Schizosaccharomyces pombe: one gene and its partners. Changing the gene in region 3 together with the main gene of any one other region gives a genetic interaction. Each region holds a gene or a part of one and is shown on either strand. Other genes may lie near its edges.

The links.
Region 1: mutations in rqt2 (region 3) and vps3 together harm fitness less than expected from each alone (positive genetic interaction), as found in Schizosaccharomyces pombe (one large-scale study listed by BioGRID).
Region 2: mutations in rqt2 (region 3) and SPOM_SPCC736.02 together harm fitness more than expected from each alone (negative genetic interaction), as found in Schizosaccharomyces pombe (one large-scale study listed by BioGRID).
Region 4: mutations in rqt2 (region 3) and SPOM_SPBC1289.14 together harm fitness more than expected from each alone (negative genetic interaction), as found in Schizosaccharomyces pombe (one large-scale study listed by BioGRID).

The regions. Positions count from the first base shown.
Region 1 is NC_003421.2:472,726-481,278, reverse strand, and holds vps3 (GTPase regulator Vps3), read left to right. Parts: upstream 1-2,217; 5' UTR 2,218-2,290; coding exon 2,291-2,366; exon of another isoform or gene 2,367-2,414; coding exon 2,415-2,479; exon of another isoform or gene 2,480-2,533; coding exon 2,534-2,639; exon of another isoform or gene 2,640-2,691; coding exon 2,692-2,879; intron 2,880-2,935; coding exon 2,936-5,233; 3' UTR 5,234-5,496; downstream 5,497-8,553. Other genes in the region: coy1 (CASP domain-containing family protein), read right to left, coding at 1-1,266, 1,333-1,443, 1,501-1,552; histone H2A-H2B chaperone Nap1, read left to right, coding at 5,708-6,889. UniProt on the Schizosaccharomyces pombe protein: Required for sorting and processing of soluble vacuolar proteins.
Region 2 is NC_003421.2:309,797-316,248, forward strand, and holds SPOM_SPCC736.02 (uncharacterized protein), read left to right. Parts: upstream 1-3,386; coding exon 3,387-4,247; 3' UTR 4,248-4,430; downstream 4,431-6,452. Other genes in the region: DNA recombination protein Dbl2, read left to right, coding at 743-2,890; msf1 (phenylalanyl-tRNA synthetase), read right to left, coding at 4,568-5,857.
Region 3 is NC_003423.3:3,741,718-3,752,236, forward strand, and holds rqt2 (ATP-dependent RNA helicase), read right to left. Parts: upstream 8,293-10,519; 5' UTR 8,159-8,292; coding exon 2,351-8,158; 3' UTR 2,256-2,350; downstream 1-2,255. Other genes in the region: SPOM_SPBC13G1.15C (uncharacterized protein), read right to left, coding at 1-59; enp1 (bystin family U3 and U14 snoRNA associated protein), read left to right, coding at 709-1,635, 1,679-2,101; SNARE protein Ykt6, read left to right, coding at 8,452-8,555, 8,604-9,093; protein smp2, read right to left, coding at 9,755-9,943.
Region 4 is NC_003423.3:4,410,573-4,417,007, forward strand, and holds SPOM_SPBC1289.14 (adducin), read left to right. Parts: upstream 1-1,668; 5' UTR 1,669-1,803; coding exon 1,804-2,778; 3' UTR 2,779-3,027; downstream 3,028-6,435. Other genes in the region: Tf2-11 (retrotransposable element/transposon Tf2-type), read left to right, coding at 4,085-6,435.

The DNA of each region.
Region 1 (8,553 bases), on a different chromosome or scaffold from region 3:
TAACTGAATTCCTTGACAACACGCTTCCGTTAAATAAACTAGGATTGCCACCCATGATTGACGATGTTGGAGAAAGTTGACCGCTAGTTCCTTCACGGCGATAGGTGGTGTTGGACAAGTAAACACTTCCCTCAACATCAACATCGGCAAGGTCTTTCTCTAGTTTTCGAATTACCTCCTCTTGTTCAGAAGCTTTTTGTTCCAAAAATGAAGCCTTCTTCGACTCTTGAGTAATTCTATCAGTTAACTGGGCATTTGTGGAGCGTAGCTTGGCCAACTCCTCAGATAGTTGCTTTTCGCGCTTGAGTAATTGAGACTCTAGAGAAGTGTTTTCATGAGTCGCATGTTCTCCACTAAATTCAATTTGTTTTAAAACAGATAGTTCTCGTTTAATCTCGTCGTAATCCGAAAATTTATTGGCCAATGTTAAGCTTTCTTCTTTAACTTTGCGGGCCTCTTTAACTTCATTTTCCAGCGTTTGAATGGTGGCACAATGTGTTTCCATTTCTTTTCTTGATGCTTCCTTTATTGATTCCAATTCAGTAGACAATTTTTTATTAAGAGAATCCATAAAATCCAATTGTTGTTTCTGCTGGTTACTCAGGTCATCCTGTGACGACCCGCTCTTTTGCTCTTTGGTGTTTTGCTTGAGCACAGCAATTTCTGCTTGCAATTCGACAATGATTTTGTTAGCATCATCCAATTCAGAAAGAATAGCATTCACTTCGGCAGATTTGGCATTAACGTCCAACCCTGCTGATTCATTCTGACTGGCCTGTAAATCATGATCTAGTTGTGATGCTTGTAATTCCCGAATTTTTGAAGTTAATTTTTGAATCGTACTAGCATTTTCCTGTTCCATGTCTTTATATAGCTTTTGTTGCTCAAGCCAAGACTTTTCGCATTCTTCTTTTGTGATTGCGGCACGCTTTTCCGCTTCAGTCTCTACAAGGTCCTTGTATTTGTCAAGCTCTTTTCGTAAATTTTCCACTTCACGTTCCAGCTTTTCCTTACCCTGTAGCGAGCCTTCCATTTCTTCCTTTTCCTTTTTTAAATCTTCAATCTGTTTTTGAGTTTTAAGGTTGTTCGCAGCCTCAATCAGCAAAGGGTAGGGATCAGGAACCTCGCCTAGTGTTTCATACACTCGAAAGAATGTTGCTTCAGCGGACTTTGCTCGTTTGGTCAAAGAATCGATTCCAGACTGATAAAGCTTTAAAAGGCCCTTCATTTCGCCTAGCTTGACTTCATCAGGCTGCTTGCGAAATTCTGTATATTAACAATATTAGCAAGGGTTAATGTATACTAGGTATGCTGCAATAATAGACACCATACCCTTCGTTTTTGACGAAAGCTCTTTCCTTTCATCCAAAGATGTCTTTTGCATCTTCTCAATTTCTGCTGCAGCTTCATCTGCTTCCCGTTGTAATTCCTCAAACCGCGAATCTATTATCTCACGTTAGTAACTTTGCTATTTGCTTAAAAATTCAAAACACCACGAACTTTTCCATGACTCCGTTAGCTTTTGGAGTAAAGCTTCTGAAGCAACTGCCATTATGTTGCAAGTTATTAAAACGAAACACTAAAATGACTAATGTTTAGTATTTGTTTTGTGCTTAGCATTTCAATGAAATAGCGCGATGTCAGCGTGCTGAAATAGTGAATTGGGAGTTACACAACGTTCCATTAAACACTTCGCTATAAGAATTTGTTTTTATGGAAATGAGTAATATGTATTAGGCGCTTAATTCGATTGGAAAAGTGATTGTATATTGTATTGATTTTGCTTTTGTAGCCTTGTATTTTGGGAATAATGCAAAGCCTATTGACAAAAGGCCAATCTTTTTAGATCAGCTATCAAATTATTCAGTCAATTAATTTTCGAAGAGACTTGAAATTAAGTCAGTCAACAAACATACAATCACTTCTGTGTGCAATTATTATAGTTCCTGCTATTTCACTCTGTGAGGCTATCTCAAATTGCTATAACTCCCAGGATGCTTGCAAGTTAACTTAGAATTACTATGGATTAAGATTGGAAGAGAATCTCCTATAAGGATTCCACGTATTTGAATAGTTAGTTTTGTAATAGAATCTAATTTTTATTTAAATTAGCAGAAATTCTAAATTTACTTTCTTTCTATATCATAACATTTCGTTTACTATGGGTTACACGCTACCCAGATCTACTCATATTGAAAGTAACCATATTAACGCAACAGATACACTTACAAAGGGCTTTTTCATGAATATAATTGTTTAATGAATCTTTTCATTAATTCAAAATTTACAAATGTCTGATATTGAGCTGCATGAGTCAGCAATTCCTAAAGAATTGGATTCCCCTGTAACTACCATTGCGCTCTATAGTAAGGCAAGCATCCGGGGCTATATTGCTAACTATTTGATTTTTTTAGATAACCATCTATACTTTGGAACGGAAGGTGGTGATGTATTCCTCTATAATTTTTCAAATTTCCAGGTTTGTGTTTATTCGTGTGTTGCACAGGGTTGTTTGCATTAACACGCGTATTAGTTAAATGAATCACCAGAGCTTGTAAAGAAGATTTCGTTGGTGTCGAAATCTCGTGTAAACCGAATTCTTGCAATGCCTTTTCTTGGCGCAGTTTTTATTCATCATGGTAAGCTATGTGTGGTTTACGATAACTTTGGAATACCAATTAACGGTGGTAGGTAGTTTCGCAGAAGTATACAAGGAAGATGATTTGACTCAGCTTTACCCTTCCATCTCCTTTAAAGGCTTGGTGGAATTCTGTCATCCAGGCCAACGTATTGACGAGAAAAGCACATATTTAATTGTGACCAATACTCATTTAAAGCTCATCTCATTTCAAAAAGATGGAATCATACTAGTCAAAAATGTATGTTAGATGCTAAATTGTTTACTTCATAAAAGCGCTAATTAACAATAAACAAGGAACTTAAATACCCCAATATTCAAACTGCTCGTGTGAATGGTCATATCGTTTGTCTAGTTACCGAAAATTCCTTTGAATTATTGGATATTCTCACCTTTGATACTACTCCCCTCTTTCCCATTATCAAATACGATTCGGAAAATAATGGGCTAATGTACAAACCCATGATTGTTTTGCATTCTAATGAATTTCTCTTGATTACCGGTAGTCCCAAAGATGCCATAGGGCTTTTTGTAGATTCCCAAGGGAATGTCACAAGAAGCACTCTAACTTTTTCATTTTATCCAAAACATGTTTTTTCTACATCTCATTATGTGTTCGCCATTTCTTCTAGTTCGTTACAGATCATCGACATAAATACTCTCAGTCTTGTTAAAAGTATTAATCTGAAGGATGATGAAAGTTTCTCTTTTATTTCTCGATTGACAAGCGTTCATTTTTGTGATCGCCAAATATTTAGTAAATTCTCTGCTGTGAATACTGCGTCTACCTCAAAAACTTCTGATACGATAGAAAGGGCTTCTTTTAGCAAGCCTTCATTTATTTTTCTTACGAATAAATCTTGGGGGTTTGGCGCTGAAGCTCATTTTATGAACAAACTAGAATTCAGTATTACCATAGGCGATATTGAAGCCCCTCTGCGTCGAGTGAGTAAGCGATTGCGGAATCCGAAGAAGTATGGAATAACCAATGATGTCGCTTATCTTCAATCTGCTTATTTGGAGCAAATCTCGGCATTACAGTATTGGAAGCAAGGACAGTATGAAAATTCTCTCTCTTTGCTTGAAACTTCCAAAATTGATCCTCGCGTAGTTATCTCCCTCTATCCAGATCTCTATCATTCGGAGCTTTCCTATATTGCTTTTCAAGGTGTCATTAGTTTTCGCAAAAGCATATTGTCCGTCGATGATACTGTTGCTAATGTTTTAAAATCTAATGAATTGTTTCGTGATACTGATCAATACACTCAGAGACAAATGATTGAAATTACTAAGGAAAACGCATACATCATGTTGATGCGTTATCTGAAAAATTACAAAAAGAACACGAGCATATCTGAGTATCTTTTATCTTCGCAAAGAGACGTGATGCTTGCTGTAGAGCATTCGTTATTACTCCTTTATTTAAATATGGATGATTTAGCCGCCGGTACCAAAAATGCTAAGGAGTTGTTAGAGTCTGGTCTAACTGGTGTTGAAGATATAAAAGATGTGTTGATACAGAAGAAAGAGTATTATTTACTCTCCGTGTTATTGGCTACTGTAAGGGATCACGATGGTGTTCTTCAAACTTGGAAGAAATTAATAACAGGGGATTATGAAGATCGGAGATTCAACGATGGGTTAATTAAAATACGAGAATATTTGGTTAATGATATTGAGCCTTCGACATTCTGGGAATTTACTACATGGCTTTGTAAACACGATGCAACGGAGGGTACGCGCGTTTTGCTTGACAAAACAGTTAGTGGATCCATTTCTGCAGAGGACGTGTTAGAGCATTTGGATTCTTCTCAAGATGATGTTTTGATTGATTACCTTGTAAAGTCGAATTCCGTCACTCATCGAGCGCTACTTTTAAAGTTGTGCGTTAATAAGTTGCTTGGCAGTTTATTGGATCATAACGATTTTAAAAATCGCCTTGAGACTGCCATTGAAACATTTAGGGAGCTTCCTTGCATGGAGAAACCTACGTATGCCCAATACTTGGAACAACTTTGGGGGGACATGAGTGATTTCAGTACTCATCTTTCATTTTACTATTTGTGTTCTATTAATCTGATGGAAAATGTTGAAGAAGAATCTATAGATAAAATAAAAGATATTTTGTTCGACATTCATGTTGACAATTTATATCTATTTCCTCAACTTGAACACTCGTTTTACAAAAGGAAGAAGAATTATGAAAAAGCTTTATCCGTTTTGGTTACGAATATTCATGACTATAAGGGCGGTGAAGCATACTGTCTTCAAATTGATGATGTTTATCCTCAGTGTTGGTGCAATTTGCTCGAAAAATGTATATCAACAGGAGATGGATGTAGTGATTTTATTAAAGAACTATTGTATCGTCGACCCTTTTCTTATACGCTTTCCTACGTGTGCGAGCAAATTCCAGATCATTGGAATCTTAACTTATTAGCAGATTTTTTGTGTATATTGCAAAAAAGAAATGCTGAGCGTTTGAATGAATCCCAAACTCGTTTAACACTTGAGAAGTCGTTGTCTCAAAATTTGGAAGAGTTGTTCATGGCTATTAATCGTCGTAATGTAGCCTTGGGCAAAAACGAAATTTAACCCAGTAACATTTAAAAAGTAACCTTTGGTTCAGCAAAGTTTTTACCTCAATTTTCGATACTTATTCGACTGATGTTTAATTTAATGATAGAATAATTTCAATGAGACAAAAAGATTCTAGCTTCAAAATGTTGTTAGAATATAAAGGGCTTTCTTCTACAGTTAATTCAGCTCTTCCTGATCTTTACTAGTCTTAAAAATATAAATAATATTAACTATGAGCCTAAATTCATCGAATTTTATTTTTAAAAACCCCCTTCGGGAATAAAGAAAGTGTCCGTAACACAACGATGCACTGTTCACTAAGGTCGGAAACCCCGAGGATGAGCTCGGAAGTTCCGCGGGTAGGTAGATTCCCAGGGTGCAGCAAATATTCTTACACTTAGCTTCTACCACTACCCTTCCCAGTGTTATTAAAAGGACGTACGGAAAGCGTCTGAAGCATAATTGATTGCTGGAACAAGTAGAATTAATATGGTAGAGAACGTTAATATTAATAACAAAAGGGCCGGAAAAATGTCTGCCGCCCCAACTCCCCATAACACCCCATCGGGGACGAGCGCTCCCAACTTTGGTGCGAAGGCTCCTCAAGTAAATACTATTGACGAAGGAGATGAGAATTTAGAGGCTATCGACGGAAAATTGGGTTCTTTATTACATCTCACTTCAGAAGGAGTTTCAGAATTGCCTGAAGCCGTGCAAAGAAGGATTTCTGGACTTCGTGGTTTGCAAAAGCGATACAGCGACTTGGAGTCTCAATTCCAAAAAGAGCTGTTTGAGTTGGAAAAAGCTTATGCAAAGAAGTACGCACCTATTTTTAAGAGAAGATCTGAGGTTGTTCGTGGCGCTGACGAACCTACCGAGGAGGAAATTAAGAAGGGTGAAGCTGCCGATGAGAACGAAAAGAAAGAACCTACTTCTTCTGAGTCTAAGAAACAAGAAGGTGGTGATGATACTAAGGGTATTCCTGAGTTCTGGTTGACCGCTATGAAGAATGTTTTGTCTTTGTCTGAAATGATTACTCCCGAAGATGAAGGAGCTTTAAGTCACCTTGTGGATATTCGCATTTCCTATATGGAAAAGCCTGGTTTCAAATTAGAATTTGAATTTGCTGAAAACCCATTCTTTACTAACAAGATTCTCACCAAAACTTATTATTACATGGAGGAATCTGGCCCGTCCAACGTTTTCTTGTATGATCATGCTGAGGGCGATAAGGTTGATTGGAAAGAAAATGCCGATTTGACTGTTCGTACCGTTACTAAAAAGCAACGCAATAAAAACACTAAACAAACTCGTGTCGTAAAGGTTTCCGTTCCTCGTGACAGTTTCTTCAACTTTTTTAATCCCCCAACTCCTCCATCTGAGGAAGACGAAGAATCGGAGAGCCCTGAATTGGATGAATTGTTGGAACTTGACTATCAAATCGGTGAGGACTTCAAAGAGAAACTCATTCCTCGTGCCGTTGAGTGGTTTACTGGTGAGGCTTTAGCTCTTGAAAACTATGACGGATTCAGCGACTTAGATGTTGAAGAGGATGAAGATGATGTTGAATCCTCTTCTAACGAAGAAGTTTCCGATTCCGATGAGGAGGACAGTGATAGCAAGCACACTGCTCATGGCCAGCAAAACGCTGCTGAGTGCCGTCAGCAATAAACAATTTCGATAATGTGCATATATTATGGGGTTAATAACAATGGGTTTTCTGTGTTTTGACTAAAGGAAAGATACTTGAAAAGTATGATTCTTGAGGTTTTCATGCAACATTTGTAAACCTTTTGTTGTACAGGATAGGTTCGGACCACATGTGAGTGCTTGCGGACGAGATTCTGCAAGTTTATAAAGTTTTTAAATATCTTCCAATTTATCGAGTTTTTTTCGTTTATCAAATAAAAATGCTTACAGTCGACGTGTTTTATTTTTTACTGGAATTGGTGGTTTTGAGATGAATGGCTTTAAAAGACCTAAACGACATCGTCTACATAATGGGAGGTGTGATCGTTCTTGGCGAATTTTCCGAGTTTCTAGTTTGAGTACGAAAGCCTTTAAAGATTTTGGAATGCTTATATTTGATCAATCATGATGAAAACGCTCGGACAAACTTGGACGTTTTAATATTTTCTTGCCTTTTTTTTCAATCAAATGCTTGCGAAAAGAACTAGTGATAGTTTTTTATTGTTAGTTTAGACCAAGTTGAAAACACTGACTGTAAAAATTGACCTTTAGTAAAGCTTAAAAAAGAGAACCCTTTTTACGAGCTTTTCTAGAAAATAATGCTTTGTTTTGACTTAGAAGTAAGCAATTGAGAATTCATAGTATGAATGGGTTGCATCCTAGTTAGTCTACTCTACCCAAGAAGTTGGGAAGGTATAACTAAACCCGATGTGTTTACATAAAAGGCTATTTCGAAAGAAATGAGTGTCAAAGTTTATCAAAAATACGATTTGTTTTTTTTTCGTTTTTTTAGACATAAAGAAGCTTGCAATTCTTGGAGTAAGAAGGAAACTAAAAAAATGCGGAGCGCATTGTAAAAGAGTGTTCGGTTGTTATAGTAAGTTCGTCTAGCGTTTAACAGATACCAGTTTTGTTTTTTAAAGTTAGAATCATCAAATAATGGAGATGATTACAATTGGGATGGAGGATTGCATACTACAATTTATCTTAGTCTAAATTTAAAGCATATTTGACATATCTCTTACAACATCTAATATTTTAATTTTAATACTTGCCTTAAATATATTATAGCTTTTATAATTTTCGACTTAGACACTATGCCTGAGTGGTTAAAGGGACAGACTAGAAATCTGTTGCGGTCTCCGCGCGCAGGTTCAAATCCTGCTGGTGTCGAAAATTTTTGGCAATTTTTATATTGAAAATTCTTTATATTCATTTGCAACTTAAGAATGTTTTTAGTATATAATGCAAAGGTCCTAAATAAAACAGCGTCCAATTTGATGGAATGCGTTTAGTTGTATAATATTGTTGCAGCAATTTGGTGGACTCAAAACACTGAAAGTCAATTCAAATTTAACTAAGCTCATGTGATATATCAGATTTGTTTGATTTATTATTTTTCCTCGTAAGTTTTAATAAAATGGATTCTACAAATGATCTATCAAAGGTACAAAGAAATAAAATCCAGCTAGCTACTACTAAAGGAAACAAATAATTTTAAAGTAGGGAAAACACACAAGTTATAGTAAATAAAAAAGAAAGAAAGAATAAATAAATAAATTAGTTGGGATACAAAAATAAAAACACAATTTTTTAATAATTAAATACTAGTAAAGAAAGCAAATACTAGTAAATAGTAAGTAATA
Region 2 (6,452 bases), on a different chromosome or scaffold from region 3:
TTTACATTACGAATATTTGAAGCAATCTGCCTCTGTAAGCTCAACTGTAAACTTCATGGTTTAAGGTGAAAAAAGACATCTTTTTTTATATATCATTATGTATACACACAGTCTGTCCCTATGAAACTATCAATCGGGATTATTAACCATTGTTTCCGTTTCTCGATACAGGATATTGAAAATTATCTAACAGTTTTGCTTCCTTGGGCACTAAGAGACCTTTTACTAAAGAAAAACCCATCAAATATTAGACCTTGTAGATTAGTAAAATTAATAAAAATAAGCATCTCTCTTGAAACCATCTCAAGAGATAATCTGCTTCTGCTTGCGTATTATAAAGTTACCTTCAATCATTTCGGCGTGTAAACAAGTACCTCATATCAATAACCAAAAGCTCAACTCGTTTGTAGTTCATAAAGAAAAAGAAAAGAAAAGGAAACCTTGTTTAAGGATTCTACAAAGATGTAATTTTCTGGCTTGAGATCATTTACTTTCCTAGATTTCAACTTTCTGCTGTATACCAACCATTTCCTAACTACCATCCAACAAAAGCACGTAATTCCCATTCCTAAAGCGAGAGCAATTAATGCTCAAATGAGGTTTATACATGAAATAGATATTCTCACTCTTATTCTTTAATTAATTATTAAATAGGGTGGTTTGTGAGTTTTTTTCAACAATATTAAGCTTTTCGTAAGCCACCTTTCGGAACTGCCTTTACAGGCTTTAAAACTTATATTCTATGGATACAAGTTCCAATGTTTTTCATTATCAAGTATTGTGGACGTCTGATAAAGCAAAAAAAGTAAAAGTTTGGAAAGATGGGACAATGCGCTTCCACAGCTTCAATAATCGTGGAATTCTCTACGATTCTGATAACCGAGTCGTAGATGATTTTTTCCTTAACAACAAGAGAATTGTTCTGGATTCTGAAATTGAATTTAATAGAACTATTGTTTACGTTGAGAATTTACAAACAACTACTGAAGCGAATATTCCACCTATACCGAGGAAATCAAAATTGAGTGAGACAGGGAAGAGGCCAGCTTATTTATTAAAACCATTCCAGCCTCCATTTCACTCCGCTAACTCAGATGTATCTAACAATTCAAATGGTGCTTTATCGTCAAATATGTTAAAAACACACGCTCATCATACAAATTCAACAAAATCCACGATCTTCCGGAACGCAAATTTGCAATCTTATGGAGTAGATGACTCAGATATTGGTAGTTTGAGATGTTCAAGTAAGCATCAACTGTCAGTAACACCGGAAATACAACCCAAAGCTAAGTTTAGACCAAACTCATATCTAGCTTCTTCTGTTGAGGAATCTAATCGAGCTAACAATACCTCTCCCTATCCCCCATCTAACTCATCCGTAACTGCGCTACCGAAACCTTCGAAAATTGCATATATCCCTGTTTTGTCAAAACCCAAGTCTTTTAATGGCACCTTGGTTGAAGATCCTGTAGAAGAATTTGGAGAAGACGACATAGCTTCTGACTTTTTTTCTTCCCCTTCTGCCGATCTCGAGGCAGATGATTTTACCACTCTAAATAATTCAAATGCTGGTCATTTGTTACAAAACCTAAGTAATGATAACGTAAGTGTCTCCGTGAAGGCATTAGAAAATGGAAATGAAGAAGTTTCTAATAATCATGCTCGATCTCCTCATTCTTCCCGCGCTTGTAATACCATACCTTCCAACAAAAACGATGGGCTAAATGATGATCATCAAAGACAAGATTCTTCTGTTGCAGAACCCAGTCCTACTTCTAAACGTCTCCGTTTGACTCGCCTTCCGTTACCTCTGCTTCGGAAACCCACGGGGAAACGACAAAACTTTATTAATATCACAGTTACCGACCCCTCAAAAAACTTGTACGAAAGAAGTGTCAAAACTGCTGCCGAGCTGGCATCGCTTCAAAATGTAACAGAAACAACTGATAATGAAATACCAAACTCTCCTGATTTTCTAGATGCAGCATCAGAAGAGGATGAACACATTCCTTCGCTAGATTCGTCATCTCTTTTAACACCTTTGGCTTTGCCCAACAAAAAAGCCTTTCAACCCGTGAAGTTTCGTGTACCGTCTTTTTCATCTCCTTTAGTTAAACCAGCATCTTCGTCCTCGTTTGGTAGGAGTCACTCTCACTTAGGCACGTCCCTTCGCTCAAACGAACTTAATGGATCTAGTGCTTCTTCTTCAATCTTTCTACAATCCAACAATGCAGTCAATCCTAACGTTTCACCTTCTACTGTGCTTGAACATGCCAAACATCCTTCCTTGGCCAAACATTCAGGTGTATCGCTGAGAACAGGCTTGTTGATATATCCTAAATATGCAAATGGTTCGAAAAGAAAAGACGGTTTTGGAGCTACTTCTATAATATCTTCAGGGGAACATTCGTCGTTGCCTAAAAACTCGAAATCCAGAAATGTGTCGGTATTTTCTAGCCCTTTTAATGTCCCTTCGTTTACTGTTTCTTCTTCGGACCAAGTCCAAAAGAAAAAAGGAAATGTTCCTAATGCTATTGAAACGGACTCTTCTCCTTCGGATACCATTTCATCCTCGCCTACTGTTCGAGCTGTAAATCTCTCACCCAGCAAAAACCAAAAGCCTCCGAAAATACTTACCAAAATTCCGGATATTTTTTCTAAAGCGGGAAAGAAATCTCCTATTTTACCAACTTTTCAAGAGTCTTGTTCGTTACCTATTGAGCCTTTTTCGTCAAACATTACGGATTTGCCATTTGTAAATACAGTAACACTTGCTTCAACGAGTAGCAAGATCAAAAGGGCAAAGTTAAAAATGCTAAAATTTAAGCATGCCATGACTACACAAGGACGCGATCTCGATTCGGACGAAGATGGTGACTTTATTTGAAATTAATTTTTCTTTCGTACGTTGAAACTTCTCTCTCAAGCCGACTTTGTTACATATAATTTTTAATTCAAAAAACAGTACTGAATTTTGATTTCTGGTTTCCTTCATGTATTATTATCAACATTTATTTTTCCATAGTTCATTTAGGTTTTAGCTATACTTATTTAGCTCTTTTACATATAATTAATTTTTTTTTTTTAAACATTAGATTTCAGCTTGTTTTTGGTGTTGTTAGTACAATTCTAGGTTTTGATTTTCATTTTTTAGTAGCACATACATTGCTTTTTCAAAACCTTGAGTTTCTTCTTTGAACCTTTGAGCAAATAAGTATCAGATTTATTCTTTTCTTTTAAAAAACCAACTATTTGGGTTATTATGAAAATGTTGTAAATATTTTAAGTTAAATTATCTTTTGTAGTCATTTATTTTCTATACATGTTTAAATTTTTCAGCACTAAATAGTGTCTGTTGGTGAGCTCCAAAAATCTTGTTAAAGATGGGTAAAAAGCGAAAACAGACCATAAAAAATGACTATAATGAAAAAATTACGAAAAGAAAGGTCAAAAATAATTTGACTGATGGAAAAGCTAGAGCGTTAACGGTTTTTGAGTCTTTACCTTTAGAAGTTTTAAGATTAATATTTTTGTTATCCAATAATTCGAATTTGGCAGTGACTTCTCGTAGTTTGAGACACCGATTATCTTTAAGGAATAATACGCCTATCTTCATGCCTATTGATTTTACTCTTTCAATGGTACCCAAAAGCATCATTCTCTCTATTCAACGTGGATTGCTACGCAGGTATTTTACACTTCAAATCCTTACAAAAATTGACGAATTAGTCATTTCGGGGTTTGTTAAAAAAAGCCCTAATGAAGATATAAAAGATGGTCGAGTTATACATGCAGGACACGAAGGTTTTATACCAAAACGTATTCTTTTCTTACCCAATGCAGAAGATTTCATTGCAGAGCTGGAACATCGCAACTTTTTGTTTAAAGCTTCTTCTCTTAGAAATGGTTTTCTGCTAGCATTAAAACAACGGAACATACCAGTTATTCGTCAAGTAGGTAAAATTGTTACTGAACGACTTATTTCTATACCTGATGATGAAGTTGAGTTTTGTTTCCTCACCTGGTTCGAGTACACAATGGAGCAAAATTCGGTGGAACTTTTGGATATAGTTTTTGGGTTTTGGAACAATATAATTGAAAAAAGATTTTCTAAATCTTTTATTGACTCTTACCTAACGAGACTTGTGGATATAGCAATTTCAAAAAATGTTACAGAGATCATGTACTACTTGATTGAAAAAGGTGCAATTCCTCAATTACCTAACCTTTTGAAGCTTTTTTAAATGCTTAAGTTTGTAATCAAAATTGCTCTAGCTTTTATATCTTATTCATCATATCATTTGCATCTCGTTCTATAAAATAAATTTTGTATTCGAGGTATTTAATATTCATCTTCACGTTCCTTTTTATATGCGTTGTTTCCTTTTTTCAAATAGATTCAATAAAATAACTTTTTAAAAACCAAAATTGTTATTTCTTTCGTTTAGTCAAAAACATACGAGATAACATTTCAATTTTGAGAGGGAATAACATGGAATTATTTTACGCATGTGTGCATGTTATTAAGCTTTTTACATATTTTAAAATTAGTATGTACGCACATTCATCTGAGCTCGACTCTCAAAGAATTAGCTACTCGGTTCCTAAGCTTTTCCTGTAGCTTGTCAATTTCTTCGTTTCTAAGGGATCTTTCCATACTTCTGTAATTGACTCGGTAGCACAAGCTCGTTTTTCCAGATTTGGCAGTATACTGATCAATCAAGTTAACAGATTCTACCATATCTTGACAGACATCCCGTATGATCTCATAAAAATCATTTGGATTAAAATCATTATTGATCCAAAATGCAATGTCTTTGAAACATGCTGGGTATTTACTAAAAGGCTTAAAAGTGCTAATCTTGTTAGGCAAGAATTGCTTCGAGAATCGTTCATCCAGTGACCAAAAAAGCCGAATATCAGGAATACCGTACAAAATCATTGCGAGACGTTCAAGACCAATTCCAAAAGCCCAACCAATGTAGTTATTTAATCCTGCACCTTTAAGCAGCCTATCCTGGACGACCCCACATCCTAATATTTCAAGCCATTTTCCTTTCCAGTCAATTTCTAACTGAAACGAGGGCTTGGTAAAGGGGAAACTGTCGTACGTCCAACGATACCGAACCTGTTCAGCTCCGGAAGAAATAGAAGGAGCAAGTGATACCAGGTCATGAATCACGGTGGTCAGAGTATCCTTTAAATGTTGGGAAACAAATTTTGTCTCTTCAAGTGAATAAATATCTTGCATGTCATTATGAGTTTCTAATGCAGTAGTTTCATCATCCACCATTGACTTAAGAGATGGAGAAAGAGCTACTTTTTTTAGATCATTTTTCATTTTTGCAGTATCATTTCTGTTCCACACCAATGCACCTTCCATTTGATGAAAAATTGGATAATGACTAGAATCCACTTCATCGCGACGGTATACATCTGCGGTTATTAAGAAACCATTTTTCTTAAATCCTTCTTTGGCCAAGCGAGAGAACTCTTCAGGTTGATGAGCCGAGGTATGGGTTCGAAGACAAGTTTTATTGTTCATATAGTAAGTATCGGATTTGCTTCTACTTACATGTGTCTTGGGAAATCCTAAAGAATCAAAATTCGTCTCTACAGAAACAATAGGTGATTCTTTTTGAACATTATTCATTTCGAATTTTTGAAATTGCTGTTCGAGAAGTTGTCGTAGACTGCATATGGGATGACCTTCTTTTTGAAAAAGGTTTCGACCAATTTTTGAGTGAATATGCTCTGGGACATTGGACCAAGAATCTGTTTGGACTTTTCTTTTCCAATTGGGAAACCTTCTCGAAAATAGTTTCGATAAATGAGAGACTCGATGAGGGAACATTGATTTCTTAAATAACACACTTCACTTTTTGTAATCAAACAATGATAATTTAAATTAGAACAACGAAGCTAACTATTTTTAAAATTAATATATAATAATAATTTAATAGAATTCAATCAATCGGTCTTAATTGCGTCCCATTTGAAAGTAAAAAAATGATAGTACCCAAATATAGGGGTTGTGCCGTTCTTGGATACAATGAACAAAGGAGTAAAATTCGAATCGTTTAATTTTCAAGCAGTGGTTTATAGATTTGGTCAGTTTACAAATATTTCATTCATTGTTTTTGCATAAAAAAAATATATGCTTTAATTTCAAAAGCCATTATCACTCAAATGGATTTCATTACGACGAATTGCAAATTTTATTTCCATAAGACTCCTGACATAACTTTATTTAGAAAGATAGAGCATCATACTGTACATAAAGTTGCCAACTTCAAAAGAAGTGCAGAAAAATTATCAAGGACTTTCTTGTAATCGGTCATATTAGATCAAGTATTTAATAGCTTCACTGTCCTATAAGCCGTACAATCGTAATGTAGGCTACAAAAAACTCAACATTTCAAATAACATTTCAAATCATCCCGATTTTA
Region 3 (10,519 bases):
GCTTCTAACAGATTTCGATTTAATACAAACTGAGCACAAAAGATACAGCATGAAGCCATTACTCTCAAGCTGAAGAAATATGTCCTTTATTTTCCAAGATTCAGTCTGCGTAAATCTAAAAAATTGAGTTCTTAATATCAGATTATACGCTTTAATTTAATATATATTTATATATATAATAAAAGCTGTCAACTATGCGATTACTAGGAAAAATAGCGAACAAAAAGTAGCTTGAGTTCCCATGATCTTTGAAAACTTAGAGATTTGCTGATGTGTTAAACATACTGTCAAACTTTGATAATATGGCAATCATTCAATAGCTCACAACTGAAATGCGGAATGTTGGTTAAGATGTAATTTATTTTCATTTATTCAATTAGTATTATCAACTTTAATGAAGACCATTATATCATCCCACAGTCCTATTCTTTAATATTTAAAGAGCTATATTGAACAGTAATAGCTAACATAACATAGTATAGCATAAAAAACTGCATATGGAAGATACTTCCCATGGAGTTCAGTAGTTACAAAAGGTGAAAGGCTAAATAGCGTGCTATTTTGTGAGGCGCTAGGTAAAACGAAATGCACGGTTTTACGTGGGATTTAAAGTACGCTAATTAGGTAAGTTTTATAATTGCAATTTGTACCTACAAAAAACCAAAGTGTTTGGAGCGGCGGAATTAAAAAGAAAATATATTATTGATAATGCCCAAGGCTCCAAAAACTAAACTGCATCATGCTCCTCTTTATAAGGACATTGCAGAATCTTCAGAAAGTGGTGTCTTGAGACAGAAACCTAGCAAACAGAAAAAGTCGAAAGAAAGCAACACCGGAAACGGCTTCTTGGATGCCAAGACTTCTAAAAAAATTTTACAATTAGCAAGGGAACAAAAAGAGGAGTTGGATGAAGAAGAAAATGGAAAACCTTCACAGATCAGTGCTTTTATTAGTAATGGACATCAAAAAGACACTTTAGAAAATCCGGCAATTGAATCAAGCTATGAAGAATCAGAGCATGCTAGAAATGTATCCGATAGTGAAAGCATTACTTCTCAAGAAGAAGAAGAGTATGAGGAGCTTGAGATAGATGATGCTGACCGAGATTTATTCGATCGATTCCTCCCAACCGTGTCAGGCGAGGAAGGAGATCTAACAGAGGAAAAAACCACCTCACTATCCGATTTGATCATGCAAAAAATCAACGAGGCTGAAGCTCGCGCTCGTGGTGAATATATCCCTTCTGCAGAAGAGGAGGAAAATGCCTTACCTCCCTTGCCTCCCAAGGTAATAGAGGTCTATTCAAAGGTTGGGGTTTTACTTAGTAAATACCGCTCAGGAAAAATTCCTAAAGCTTTCAAAATTATCCCTACGTTGTCTAATTGGGAAGACATACTTTATCTCACTCGACCTGACATGTGGACACCTCATGCTTGTTATGAAGCTACTCGTATTTTTATTTCCAACTTAAAACCTGTACAAGCTCAACACTTCCTCACAGTCATTATTTTGGAAAGAGTTCGTGATGACATTCGTGAAAATAAAAAATTAAATTACCATTTATATATGGCTTTGAAAAAGGCATTATACAAACCGTCTTCTTGGTTTAAGGGTTTCTTGTTTCCTCTAGTTCAAGTATGTTCATCGATTTCTTTACTTAATTATTAACCTCTTATAGGAGAATTGCACTTTGCGCGAAGCCGCAATCATCGGTAGTATCCTTCAAAAAGTTTCTGTGCCGGTTCTGCATTCTGCAGCCGCGTTATTACGTTTAACTGAGTTTGACTTGAGTGGTGCTACTTCCGTATTTATTAGGATATTACTCGACAAAAAATATGCTCTACCGTATAAGGTGCTTGATTCTTTGGTTTTTTATTTTATGCGATGGAAATCATTGGAACGTCCACTTGCTGTATTAGAACATCAATCGATGTTGGTCTTTGCTCAACGGTACAAATTTGATATTACACCCGAACAAAAGGATGCACTCTTAGAAGTTGTTCGCCTGAAAGGACATTATTCTATTGGTCCAGAAATTAGACGTGAGCTGCTTAACAGTGCTAGTCGTGGTGAAGAAATTCCTGTGGAAATGGAATATTAATTGAATGGTTTTGGTTTTCTTGGGTTCACTTGGCATTTGTTTCTTTTGTAAAAAAAATTGAATAAAAAGACTTCGGATTAGCCGCTGTTTTTCAATGTTGGGAATATTTTTACTTAAATTGTGGGTTTTATGTTCACCAATTAATAGGATTATTGAGGTCTATAGATTTGTTAATTAATTTTTATTAAACAGACTTAAATATAATAAGGAAATTGGCTTAAAGCCTTCTATTTTTCTACAAAAGCTTCATTAAATCATCAATACAATTTTATGTTCGTAAATTAATGGGTATCCATCACAAACAACCATGACTTTTACATTTCTGTTGCGGCAAGTTGGTGGAATATCCATTGAAATCCGAAGGGATAAACGAATTGAATCATCGTTTCTTCGCCCAGCAAATGAGGCCCGACGTATCGCGAACAGTTCTTGAGTTTCTGAATCTATGATGAGAACGAAAAATCCCTCACTTTGAGGTTTAGGGAACAACGGCGCAAAAATGTAAAAATCGGGGTTGAGCGGCTGATTGAGGCGTCGTAGATAAAGGAGTAGCTTATCTGAAGACGATTGAGAAACTTCAATGTTCATTTTAGGATACGAAATTAAACTATTGACCAGACTTTCTATATCAAAAACGTTAGGGTCATTACATAGCATTTGATATAACTCATCAGTTTTATTTCCTGCAAATTTGTTGAGATAATCTCTTGCTTCCTTTTCACTAGACGCATTAAGTCCAGGTAATGAAGCTCTGTAAATCTCACTCGGATAGCAAGCCTGTTTAAGACACTGCATTAGAGATATGTACTGTAAACAGACATGGGAGTAGCCTAGCTCAGCGGACACATCAATATAAGACTGTATAATACGAATAACCTGATCTAAAACCGTGCTAGTATCAGTAACATAATCATCCACTGGAAGTTTCAATCTTGCCATGTGAGCTTGAGTTAATATAAATGCCTTAACATGAGCATCGACCATAGGAAGGTTTAGGCAAGCAGCCGAATATTTCAGAGATTTATTAATCTCTATGTTTATCAAATCTTCGTTGTGACGAATAGCGAGATCGTCAAACTCAGATGCTTCAGCAAGCAATTGCAACGCAAGATCGAACTCAGCGTTCTCAGTTATTTTTTGAACGAAGTTTCTGATGGTGGTATGAAAAAGATAATAGTAACTAACTATACGACCCAAAGTTGTAGGTGCATAGGTTTCTTCGTTGACACGATATATGCAAGCTGACTTTTCAAGTTCATTAAATGCAGTCACAACAAGTTTCGATAAATAAGTATCTATACTCTTTTGGTCATCTCCATCAGCACCGTAATAAACGGGATTTTGATGAACTCTTCGATAGAAGTAAGTGCACGTTAAAAAATCCATTGCACCCTGTATGCAATCTATAGTGCCCGTAGCAATCTCGGCATTTAAATGGTTATCCAATACTTTATGTAAATAAGACTCTACTGGAAATCCACTATGTAGAAAGTGCTTATAAAACGACTTCTTAATATCCTGTACAAATATACGTGCCACACCAGAATTGTCAAATTGTGGTCGTCCTGCACGCCCTAACATTTGAAGCACATCCGTCAAATCCATGTCTTTATAGCCTCCAATTTTAGCATCGTAATACTCTGTTCCTTTCACAATTACCAAATGTGCCGGCGTATTTACACCCCATGCAAGAGTGCTGGTGGCGATGAGAATCTGAACTTTATTATTTACAAAAAGCTCTTCGGAAATTTTTCTATCATTTTCAGTCAAACCAGCATGGTGAAGTGCTATACCAAATGGTAAAGCCAACTTGAGGCTTTTATCTTCAACTTCTGAAACAATCATTTCTAATTCTTCTTCATCCATGTACAAAAATCTCCTAGGATTGTCTTCTAAACCACAAAAAGCTATCAAATCTTTTGCAGTTAATCTAGTTTGACGGCGCGACGAAACAAAAATTAAAACAGGTTGGGTAGGAGAGTGCGTTTTGATGGCTTGAAAAGCAGGCTTATTCATCGACATCATCCTTGGGCAATAGGCTCTACCAGGGAATCCATCGATATATATTTCTAAAGGAACTGGGCGCACGGAATGCCTAAAATTAAATAGACCATCTCTTATGTTAAGCCAATTTGCAAGATCGTTAGCGTTAGCAACAGCAGTAGATAAACCAAGAACTCTAACTTTCTTATTAGTTTGAGAAGCAACATAATTCATTCGGGAGACAATCATTTCAAGGACAGGACCTCGATCGCTACCTAATAAATGGATTTCGTCAAGGATAATTAATGAGACATCCTGAACATACTTCCTAGATTTCCAACTTCTAGTAATACCATCCCATTTTTCCGGTGTTGTAATTATGATATTTGCATTCGTAACAGCCTTAACATCCGGGTTAGTATCACCAGTTAATTCAATCATACTAATCCCCATTGGTTCAACTAACCTGTGTCCCCAGTCCTTTACTCTTTCCTTGACTAAAGCTTTCATTGGAGCAATATAAACTACTTTCGACTTAGGATAATTGTGAAGAGCTCTCCAAGTAGCTAATTCTGCGGCCATAGTTTTACCAGATCCAGTAGGTGCACCAACGAAAATATTTGTATCGGTGTGATAAATAGTGTGAAAAAATTGAGTTTGGACTGCATTAAAAAACGAGAATCTTTTAGCGCATATACCTTCTAGCACTGGATCGTGCAAAGCCGTAATTGGTAAAGGTTGAAGATCCAATAATTCTGTAATGGGATTGGAATCGTCATGAAAAACAACATTAGAAAGAGAAACCGGGGTAACTGTTTCAGCGCCTAGCCATTTATCTGATACTGCAATAATGTATAGTTGTGAGGGTAATGGATTAGACACAGGTATGGTAAAGGATAGTAAATGAGAAGTGCTAACGTTCCGTTTATTTAGGAGCAACTGTTCATGATGAAGAATCTCAAGACCGTTACTATCTTCAACAAATATCCAAAACATTTGACTGTTTCCATGATATCTCATGTCCCAATTAAAATTGGGAGTGATATTTAATACAAGTCGCAAAACGTTTTTCGTTAAAGGTAGCAAATCAACATTAATGTTTAAAAGAGGTAATTTGGAAATAAATTTTTTAACTGTAGGGCCCATTTTTCGGTTATGAATAAGATCACCAAGTTCTCCTGTAGACATGTCCGACAATTCTTCTAATGATAAAGACCCACACTGATTTTCCACTTTGACTGCAAGGTCATGTGGAAGATCAAACTGAAGTAAGGGGTGTTCAAAAGACCACTGCCTCCTATCAATTGACTTGTTTAAGCTAAGGATAGTAAATGCCGAGGCCCAAGTCCTTGACATTGCAATTTCGAAAAGAGCCCTAGTTATTCGACCCGCGTTTTGTGCAACATAATTTGTATCTGATGTTAGGGTAAAATCTTCTACATGCGCACGAGAAATGTATGACTGCAGAATAACGTTAACTTTTCCTGATGTATTCGAAATACTATCCCTCAACTGACAAGGACTACTGTTTTCCATTAGTGATTCAAGCTCACGATGCTCATTTTCTCTCGATTTGATTTGGGAAAACTCGCTGCATTGGCTCAAAAGAGCTATAATGTCTGCTTCCGACATTTTGCTTTTCAATAAATTATTTAATGTTGAGACAGTTTGATAATTGATATAGTAATTGGACGCGATTCTACCTAAATCTTTAGGAATCAGGTATCCGTTTTTCTTATTGTAAACGATCATTTGATTATCTGCCAGCCTTCCTGCCGCTACAGATACCAATTCTCTTCGCTTGCTGCCTAGTAAAGGATCCTCAACAAGTTCGTCATAAGCAATACCGTATACAAGTGGATTACGTCTCATCCTGATATAAAGATAAGTATAACCTAACCACGATACAGCTTCGTCAATATTAGTTACCGTTCCTAAAGAAACTTCAGCGTTTAAGTTGTCAACCAATCTATCGGTGAAACGAGATTCAATAGGGCTTTGTTGTGTTACAACGGAGATGTAATGAGAAAGTTTATCATGTGTCGTAATTATGTACGCGACTGCCGAACTTTCAAACTGAGGACGACCAGCACGACCGAATATTTGTAAAACGTCCAACACGCCAAGATCTACAAAAGAACCCTTTTGTGGATCATAAAGCTGAGTTCCTTTAATTAATACAGCATAAGCCGGTAAATTAACACCCCATGCTAGGGTAGCAGTACAGCATAAAATTTTAAGAATACCCATAGAAAACAAACGTTCAGTAAGATGTCGGTCCGATCGTAACATGCCAGCGTTGTGAATCCCCATACTGTATTTGAAAAGTTCTTTTAACTCTTTGTTTTTTGACTTTGAAACATCTCTTTGAGCTAGACTATATTTTTCATGTTGTGAGTTGTCCAACAAATCAGCCTCTCCCTCATGGAAAAATTGTTCCCTCAACTTCTTAGCTGAATTAATGGTTTCCTTCCTAGAATGTACAAATATCATTACCTGATGGCCTTCCTGAATCAGTTTCAAAACTTTATCAAAACAAGCTTCATCAATATTTGAGTTTACTATTTTAGGAGAACCTTTAGCACCGATGAAATGCTGTTCAATAGGGCATGGACGAAATGCAGATGAAAAATAAAACAATCCCTTGTACCTATTGACGCCTAAAAAATCAGCTACATCAAGGTAGTTTGGAAGTGTGGCAGAAAGACCAACAATTCTAATCATCTGTTGACTTGTTTCTACCAGCCTTTGTGTCCTAGCGACAAGTGATTCAATAACAGCACCACGTTCATCATGAAGCATATGTACTTCATCAATGATAACCAAACGTACTTTCTCGGCTAACTGAGTGTCGCCGACGCTTTTTCTAGTAACTACGTCCCATTTTTCAGGTGTTGTAACAAGTATCTGAGTTTCTGCTATTTCCGTTTTGGTTAGTTGCATATCACCAGTAAGTTCTCTAGTTTTCAATCCCAACCAAGCGAGACGTTTTCCCATTTTCTCTACAACCTCAGCAGCCAATGCCTTCATAGGAGCAATGTAGACAATCTTAAAATCATCTCTATGAACATCTAGAGGTTCCGATTCATCCATAAGATTCATACTTTCTACATAGTTGGAGATTGTTTGCAACATTGCGAGCAGAGCAACATCAGTTTTTCCTGCACCTGTAGGTGCACAAATTAACATATTCTCGTTTGTCTTGTAGGCGATAGGATAGACAAGCGATTGGATTCTGTTCAAAGTTTGGTAGCTAAGGAATGTTTTTCGACAAAGAATATCCATCGAAGAAATTTCTAACAACTTTTCCCCTTGCATTTGTGGAGCACGCTGAGCATGAGGAACAATAATCTCTTCATATTTCTGGTAATCTTCTCTTTCACTACCAGCCGGTAATGCAAACTTTTTCCCAATGACGCTAATAGTATTACCAAGCCTTTTATCCCCATACACATGAGGATATTTTTCCACTTCAAAAACTTGCTGTCCAGTAAATAAAGGACCTCTGTTATCACGAGACCGACTAAATCTTCTCGGCCTACTTTTTAAACTGTCTAATAATCCCTGACCATGCGTAGCAGAAGAACCAGCTTCAGAGGTATAGCCATCAGAAAGTTGCGCAGCAATTGAAGTATCATTTTGATTCATGTATTCTTCTATTAAATTGGACGAATTAGCGACGATATCTGAAATCAAGTCAATATGATCAAGTCCAACAAGATTCAGTAAATCTTCTTGAATGGCACATTGATCTTCAGTCGCTTTTAGGCTCATAATGACTGCTTCAAATAGTACTGAAGCATCAAGTTCAGTACTTGAAGATTGAGAAATTTCATTGCAGCAATTTTGCAGCCAAGTTAAATCTTTAAGAGCAAATTCATTATTGTCGGAGTCAGTAACGTCCTCGGGATTGATTAAATTATAATTTGTTTTCAAAATTTCGTCAACTTTTAACGATAAAGCACCTAGCTCAGCATTCGAATCACTCAGCGAAAAGCTATATGGAGTATCACAAAAACTAGCAGGACCTAGCTTTTCTAAGTGATTCACTACATAATTTAACTCAACTTCCATGAAAACTGTAAAAGGATAGATCGTTGAAATTAAAACCTCCTTAAACAGAAAAAATTTGAATTTTTATTGCTTTTATAGGATTGTATCCAATATACTACCCAATTTAGCACTGCTAGTAGTGTAGGGGATGGTTTGTAAACAAATGGCCACTACCTATTATTTGTGTAATAGAAAAATACCGTAGTCGAAGGTATTATGTGTGTACATACGATTGCAAGAAGTATGGCGTTTTCAACCAAAGCAGAAACAAACTTAACCCACACCATTAACTTGATTTACAGCATATTTACAGAATGAAGCTGTATTCTGTCTCTATACTCCGCTTTGACCCAAAACCAGTGCAATTATTATGCACTGCCTCAGACTTATCTAGTTTCTCATTTTTTCAACGATCATCGTATGTGCAAGATTTAATTGAAGAGTAGTTTGTTAACAAATATTTCAGCATCGGAGAGTTCATGAATTTTTTTACAAAGACTGTTGCAGAACGTACTAATCCAGGGCAAAGACAAGACGTTGAACAGTCCAATTACGTTTTTCATGTGTACAACCGATCGGATGGGTTGTGCGGTGTGATTGCTAGTGACAAGGAATACCCTTTACGTGTTGCTTATACTCTTCTAAATAAGATTCTAGACGAATTTTTGACAAAAAATCCTCGCACCAAATGGGAATCTGGTGCTGTTACCCTATCCTTTCCAGAATTGGATACCTATCTATCAAAATATCAAGACCCCAAGCAGGCTGATACGATTATGCGAGTGCAACAAGAATTGGATGAAACTAAAGATGTACTTCATAAAACAATCGAGAGTGTCTTAGCTAGAGGAGAGAAGTTGGACGACTTGATCCAACGTAGTGATAACTTATCTACACAGTCTCGAATGTTTTATAAATCTGCTAAAAAGCAAAATTCTTGCTGTATAATAGCTTAATTATTTTATAAATTCATTTGTTTGGTTTTCCTTTCTTCCCAATGCCCAAATTATATCATATTTTTTCAAGTTGGTATTCTTGCATTTTGTTTGCTGCAATTATCGATTGAATATCAAAACCTTGTTAATTTTTCTGCGCCTGTTCCTAGAGTCCATGAAATTGTTCTTCTATCATTATCTTTAATCTGATCTTTTCATGACACGTTGTTTGCATTCCGGATTGCTTTTATGTTATAGAGTAGATTACTTGTTGAAAAAGTCTAGCATGTTTCAATGAGCATACACACTCTTCGTTGATGCTCATAGCATGAATGGTTCACTTTATAAACTTGTAAAGGAGATTTTTTTAAAGATTGTAAAATTATTGAGTTTGTTGGAGCGAGAAAACTATCGGGCTTTTTTCGTTACAGATTTTTCTATAGTTTAGATTTATCTTCTAGTATATATCAAGTTACACAAACTCAATTGTTGTTGGCAAGCAAAATGGTTTGGTAGTAATTTTCATTATTCGTTAATGCTATTATGCATTTCTTTGATAAAATAGTTCAAGAAAGGTAGTGGTTTGGTACCCTTCGTTTATTGAAGTAAAAGTTTGAAGGGTTGAGGAGTATGTGCAAGCACGCCATCAATATGCTGCAGATGCAGCTGCATCTATATTTTATTACCTTCCCGGTATAGGTTGCTTCTTCTTATAATAAAGCGATTTGCATGATCGAAAGCCCTCCTTCGAGCTAGGTATTATGGTGATTAATTCTCCATCCAGTGTATAGTAGTTTCCTTGATAGAGTTTTGCTTTTTCTTGGAATTGCTTTGCATCCTCTACAAAATGATTTTCCTTATTGTGCTGCATGTGAATGTGTGCAAGAAAATTGGTGTAATGGATTAGTAAACAAACACATTACAATCCACTTCATATTGCCTTGCGGCTAACCAAGTGATTCGGTGTATTTAATCACCGAGTTTTTTTTTGTTTATGCGAGGCAATTTTTGATTTTATTAAGCATATAGGTAGAATTTCATATTCAATTATTTATCTCGATACAAAATACATGGTTGAAGAGCGGTGTCCTTTGCATCAACGTTTAATATAAAAAAATAAAAATTGTATTGCTCTTGAGCTTATCCTTGAGAAGTTGAGTAATTAACAAAATTGTCTAGAAGTTGGAAAAATATTAAGCAAACTAAGTTAAACTTCCTCATGTGTTATCAATCCATTTTTATGCTGACAGATCGTCTTCTACAAAAAAACTGGCAACAATAAACTGGGAGGTTATTGAATTTTTAAACATCGAGCCACTAATTATTTATCTTTTGAAAGTCTTATTTTTTATAATCTGCTAATTATATTCTTTTGTTTATGGTGTTTACGCTATCATAAACTAAGATACTGTCAATTTTAGACCCCACTATCTTCCTTAGTGAAGTT
Region 4 (6,435 bases), 670 kb from region 3:
CTTGGAATTTAAGTTTGCAGCTTCGAAGAAAGTCGTAACTATTTTCTAGAACTGATTTTTTATTTCATGATAACGTTAAAATTTGCCCAGCAATAACTGTATTTTTGTGTACTTTACCAATAGCAATTTAGATTTTAACTAGCAAATCAAAGAAATATGGAGTTGTTGTCCTTCTCCATGCTTAATATTGCAGCCATATTTATTCTTTACTAACTCATCACCTAGCGATGTTTCGATTCCGTGTCTTTAGCTAAAAAATTGTTATGGTATAAAGATTCACGGATCGGCCGTTAAAATTATTCAATTACTTAACCAATAGAAAGGCCCCAGATTCGATTGCTATACCACTACATATTCGTTTACAATAATACAATATTACGGTTGAAGTATTTTTAAACAGCCAATCATTTTTTTTATTTTCAAAGCAATTTTGTTTAAGAGAATAAGACAGAATATTATTTCATAGTAAAAGTATATAATTATATTCTAATATACCGATATTGTAATGACGATAAATTATTTTTTAAACTAATTTATGGCATGTTGATAAAGCCAATGAAGGGACTGAGTAAATTGTATACCTCAAGCAAAAATTCGCTAAGCAAACGACAACTTCATCATAACCTGATGTTGAGTATGTTGTTGACGAGTAATCCCTTGTTTAATTTTTGTAAAACAACCGGATATCGGAAATATAGCAAAGGGATGAGAGCGATGGTACAAAAGTTGAGGTGCCACATTGGAACAATATTTAGTCATTATCCGAAATTTGTTATCCGTTTTTTAATTCCGGATGACATCTAAATGAATTGGGAGTTAATAGCCACTGACACGTACACTATAGAGTTAGTACTTGATTAAAAAAAAGTAAGAGAAATAGAGCAATCCTCAACCTTGTTAACTTTTCTTATGAGGTGTTAGCATTAATTCTTGTGTTCAGTCTTGCGCTCATGTCCGTTACTTGTGTAAAAATGTACGATATGTCGTCCCATATTAGTAAATGCCATGAATTATCATCCATCACTGATACCAAAATAAACGGTGATGATGAATTCAACAAATTCAAAATATCGTTATACACTGGTACTCATAGCTATTCTGTTTCCCTAGTGGAACATGTTATTCTCTTTCCTTCTCATATCTCTCGTAATGTGACGTCAAATTATAATATTCGTGTAACGAAACCAATCAGCAACCAGCCTTTCAATCAACCAATCACATAATACCTATATGGTCGAAAAATATGATAATATTGCTTTAAAAGTCATAATAGTTTTGGATGAGCGAGTTCAACTTTCAAGCTAGTCATTCAATTTAACGTTTTAATATAATTTACCTAATTTTTTTTAAATATAGAGAATGAATTTATGAATGAGGGGCATATGGTTGAATTTGAGATTCTATATATCGCATTCGAGATTTAGTAATATTGTAGCATTTCATTCTAGATTAACATAATAAATCACACACTAGCATGCTCTTGACTACTCTCTTACGCGGCAACGTAGATAACGTACATCAAAAATTTTACATTCGAATGGTGTTTTATTACGATTAGTTTAATATTTCGGCAAAGCAATTTGAATTTCAGTAAATGTAAAGGATTCTAGGCACTTACTATGACGTTGAAAAATAATATAAATATAAGCTTGCTTTCATTAAAACAACATCGTTAGCGAATAAATTCTAATTCACTTTTTCCTTCATTTGAATTTTTATTCTACTACTTTAAAGGTCTTTCATTAACATAACGACTGGCTAGAACTGCATTTTAGATTGCTTACCTTATATCAAATTCCAATTATGCTTAGCAAAAAATTTACCCCTTTGTCTTTGAAAAATGCAGCAAAATGCATAAATAATAGTTTGCGTTCTACTTATGCAATTACTGGAGTAAACCTTACGAGAGGACTAGCCACAAATTCAAAAGTTGATCCTAAAACCTACGCTCCTAAACCGGAATTTAGCTCGATTGCCGTTCGTGAAATGCTCCGAAAGTCATGTCTGCATGAATTCACTGATGAAGAGGTTGCTACGCGTATTGAGTTAGCTGCGGCATATCGTCTTTTTGGTTTAGAACATTGGAATGAGAATATTCTAAATCATTTGACTGCCAAGGTTGAGGAACCTGATGGAACCGCTTCATTTCTGATTAATCCTTATGGTTTACGATATGGTGAAATTACCGCTAGTAGTCTTATTAAGGTTGATGAGGATGGAAACATCAAACATCCTGGTGTTACGGGTGATGTTTTTGGCATCAATCGTGCTGGCTATGTTATACATAGTGCGATACACAGGGCTCGTCCAGATGTGAAGAGCATTATGCACAATCACTATCCATATGCTGCTGGCGTTTCATGTGTTAAACATGGTTTCCTTGAGCTTGCTCAAACTTCACACCAATCTGGTCCTGTCACATATCACGATTATCATGGAATTGTAGTTGACAAAGGCGAACAAAAGAGTTTGGCTGAAGACATAGCAAACAAGGATATTTTGATACTTCGTAATCATGGAATTATTACTGCTGCCGAGTCTGTAGGTGCAGCTTACTATTTAATGTATCAATTTTTGGCCGCCACGGAAATCCAAACGCATGCATCAGCAAATGCTTTGGGAGACATGAACAATCTTTTCATTCCTAATAACAAACTTGTTGAAAAAACTTTTGATGTTACCAGAGAGAAGCATTTCTCGGGTGCTAAATATGGAATTAAGGAACTTTCTGCCTATATGAGGTTACTTGATGATCTTGATAGTTCATACAGAACTTAAGATGATGTATTATTTAATTTCGTCTTTTATCAGAATTTATCACAATAAGATTTATTTGACGAGCGTAAATCCACTGAAAACTGAAGTTGAGAGCTTGTTCTACTTGACTTAATCAGTCATTAAATTTATTAATATTCTAAATCGCATTCTTTTATTATTTTTATTCACAGAAATATGAATACATGAAAAAGGAATTTTTTTTAATTTATATAATCCGACAATGCAAAAGCTAACGAAATTACACCTTAGGACTCATATTGTATCACTTGCTTCTTACCGTATTAAATATGCAACTGCAATCATTTTGCAGCCAATGTAAATGACTTTATCGTAAAACATGCATTCTGCATGAAATATCCTTGACAAAAGTTAGTAAAAATTTTATTATACATTATTCACAAATGTTTTTTACCAATAAACTTCTAAGTTACTAGTCAGAATTAATCCTGATGTTTTACTCAAATTTACTTCGTTTTCGACACTCAAAAACAATTAGAAGTTAATAAAAACTTTAACAAGGCAAGTATTCGTTGCAACTCCTAACGACAGCAATACCATGGTTTCTTAATGTCACTATACGCTACTTGTTCAGTTTATTTAGAGTACATACAGTGCGACATTTGTACCGACATATGTTACTAATCATATAGCAATTATATCGATAGCACTATGATTAGACCAATTCTAACCCTTCAATTCATTTGTGGTTAGTTCTACCTAAACCCTTCACACGAAGAATATCTTCAATGCCTGCTGTTCATTCCACCTACATACCGCAGTACAATATTAATAAAATTATCACAGAAGCGTATATTTAAAAGGTGATTTTAAACTGCGTAGCTGTCAGCAATACTGCACTACGTTGCGTATCACTATATGTCACATGTTCAACATCATATCGTAGATATCCGTTGATAACAAGTATTTAGAAATATTATAAATAGCGTTACAACTGAACCTCGTTCCTCAGTTCAGTTATGAGCTATATTATTGATAGGTAACATTATAACCCAGTTAATACAATACCTATACTCAGTTGCTTCTCATACAACCTGTGTATTGTAATATAATAGATCACAAGGAAAACTCACCACAGTTCTACGTATCCTTAAATCAGATACCAAACTGCGTAGCTTACAATAACTGAACTCTTGTGATCTACAATTAACTCTTTTTAAGAAAAAGGAATTATTGAATAAATATATATCATAAATATATATATTTCTCTCCTTCTGGGTTCAAAGGAGAAAGAACTTTGGAAAGACTGTTATCCCTTTTGAAATCTCCCAAAAGGGAAACATATACAATGTCCTACGCAAATTATCGTTATATGAAAGCAAGAGCAAAACGATGGAGACCAGAGAATTTGGATGGAATTCAAACATCAGACGAACATTTAATAAACCTTTTTGCAAAAATATTATCGAAGCATGTACCAGAGATAGGGAAATTCGATCCTAATAAGGATGTTGAAAGTTACATTTCAAAACTTGATCAACACTTTACTGAATACCCTTCATTATTCCCAAATGAGCATACTAAAAGACAGTATACATTGAATCACCTAGAAGAATTAGAGCAACAATTCGCTGAACGCATGTTTTCTGAGAATGGAAGTCTTACATGGCAAGAATTACTCAGACAACCAGGGAAAGTACAAGGATCCAACAAAGGTGATCGTTTAACTAAAACATTTGAAGGTTTTAGAAATCAATTGGACAAAGTTCAATTTATAAGGAAACTCATGTCAAAGGCAAATGTTGATGATTTCCATACTCGCTTGTTTATATTATGGATGCTGCCATATTCCTTAAGGAAATTAAAGGAAAGAAATTACTGGAAATCGGAAATCAGTGAAATTTATGACTTTTTAGAGGACAAAAGAACAGCCTCGTATGGTAAAACTCACAAGCGTTTTCAACCGCAAAATAAAAATCTAGGAAAAGAGTTCCTTCCAAAGAAAAATAACACCACTAATAGCAGAAACCTGAGGAAGACAAATATTTCGAGAATAGAATACTCATCTAACAAATTCCTAAATCATACTAGGAAACGTTACGAAATGGTATTACAAGCTGAACTTCCAGACTTCAAGTGCTCAATACCCTGTCTAATCGATACGGGCACTCAAGCAAATATTATAACAGAAGAAACTGTTCGAGCACATAAACTGCCTACCAGACCCTGGTCAAAAAGTGTGATATATGGTGGAGTTTATCCAAATAAGATTAATCGCAAAACAATAAAACTTAACATAAGTCTAAATGGAATATCAATCAAAACAGAATTCTTGGTTGTAAAGAAATTTTCGCATCCAGCTGCTATCTCCTTCACAACATTATATGACAATAACATTGAAATATCTAGCAGTAAACACACGCTCTCTCAAATGAACAAAGTTTCAAATATTGTCAAGGAACCTGAGTTACCAGATATCTATAAAGAATTCAAAGACATTACTGCAGAAACCAATACGGAAAAGCTACCAAAGCCAATAAAAGGGTTAGAATTTGAAGTTGAACTAACTCAAGAAAACTACAGATTACCTATCAGAAATTACCCGCTACCACCGGGAAAAATGCAAGCTATGAATGATGAAATTAATCAAGGATTAAAAAGTGGAATTATACGAGAATCTAAAGCCATTAACGCCTGTCCAGTAATGTTCGTTCCGAAAAAGGAAGGCACCTTGAGAATGGTGGTTGACTACAAACCTTTAAATAAGTATGTCAAACCCAATATATATCCGTTACCACTTATTGAACAATTACTTGCTAAAATACAAGGTTCTACAATTTTTACTAAACTTGACCTCAAAAGTGCCTATCACTTGATACGAGTAAGAAAAGGAGATGAACATAAACTTGCTTTTCGCTGTCCTCGTGGAGTTTTTGAATATCTAGTAATGCCTTATGGCATATCTATAGCTCCAGCACATTTTCAATACTTTATCAATACAATACTTGGTGAAGTCAAAGAATCGCATGTAGTATGTTATATGGATAATATTTTAATTCATTCAAAATCGGAATCTGAACATGTAAAACATGTTAAAGACGTTCTACAGAAATTAAAAAATGCGAACTTAATTATCAATCAAGCAAAATGTGAATTTCATCAATCACAAGTAAAATTTATAGGGTATCACATTTCGGAAAAAGGATTTACGCCTTGTCAAGAAAATATAGACAAAGTCTTACAATGGAAGCAACCTAAGAATCGTAAAGAATTACGACAATTTCTAGGTTCTGTCAATTATCTTAGGAAATTCATTCCAAAGACATCACAATTAACACATCCACTCAATAATCTTTTGAAAAAGGATGTACGCTGGAAATGGACACCAACACAAACCCAAGCGATAGAAAACATTAAACAATGTTTAGTTTCTCCTCCGGTGCTACGACACTTTGATTTCAGTAAAAAGATTCTACTAGAAACTGATGCTTCAGATGTCGCTGTAGGAGCCGTATTGTCTCAAAAACATGATGATGATAAATACTATCCTGTTGGATACTATTCAGCAAAGATGTCTAAAGCACAATTAAATTATAGCGTATCGGACAAAGAAATGCTTGCAATCATTAAGTCTCTCAAACATTGGAGACACTATTTAGAATCCACTATCGAACCTTTCAAAATTTTAACAGACCATCG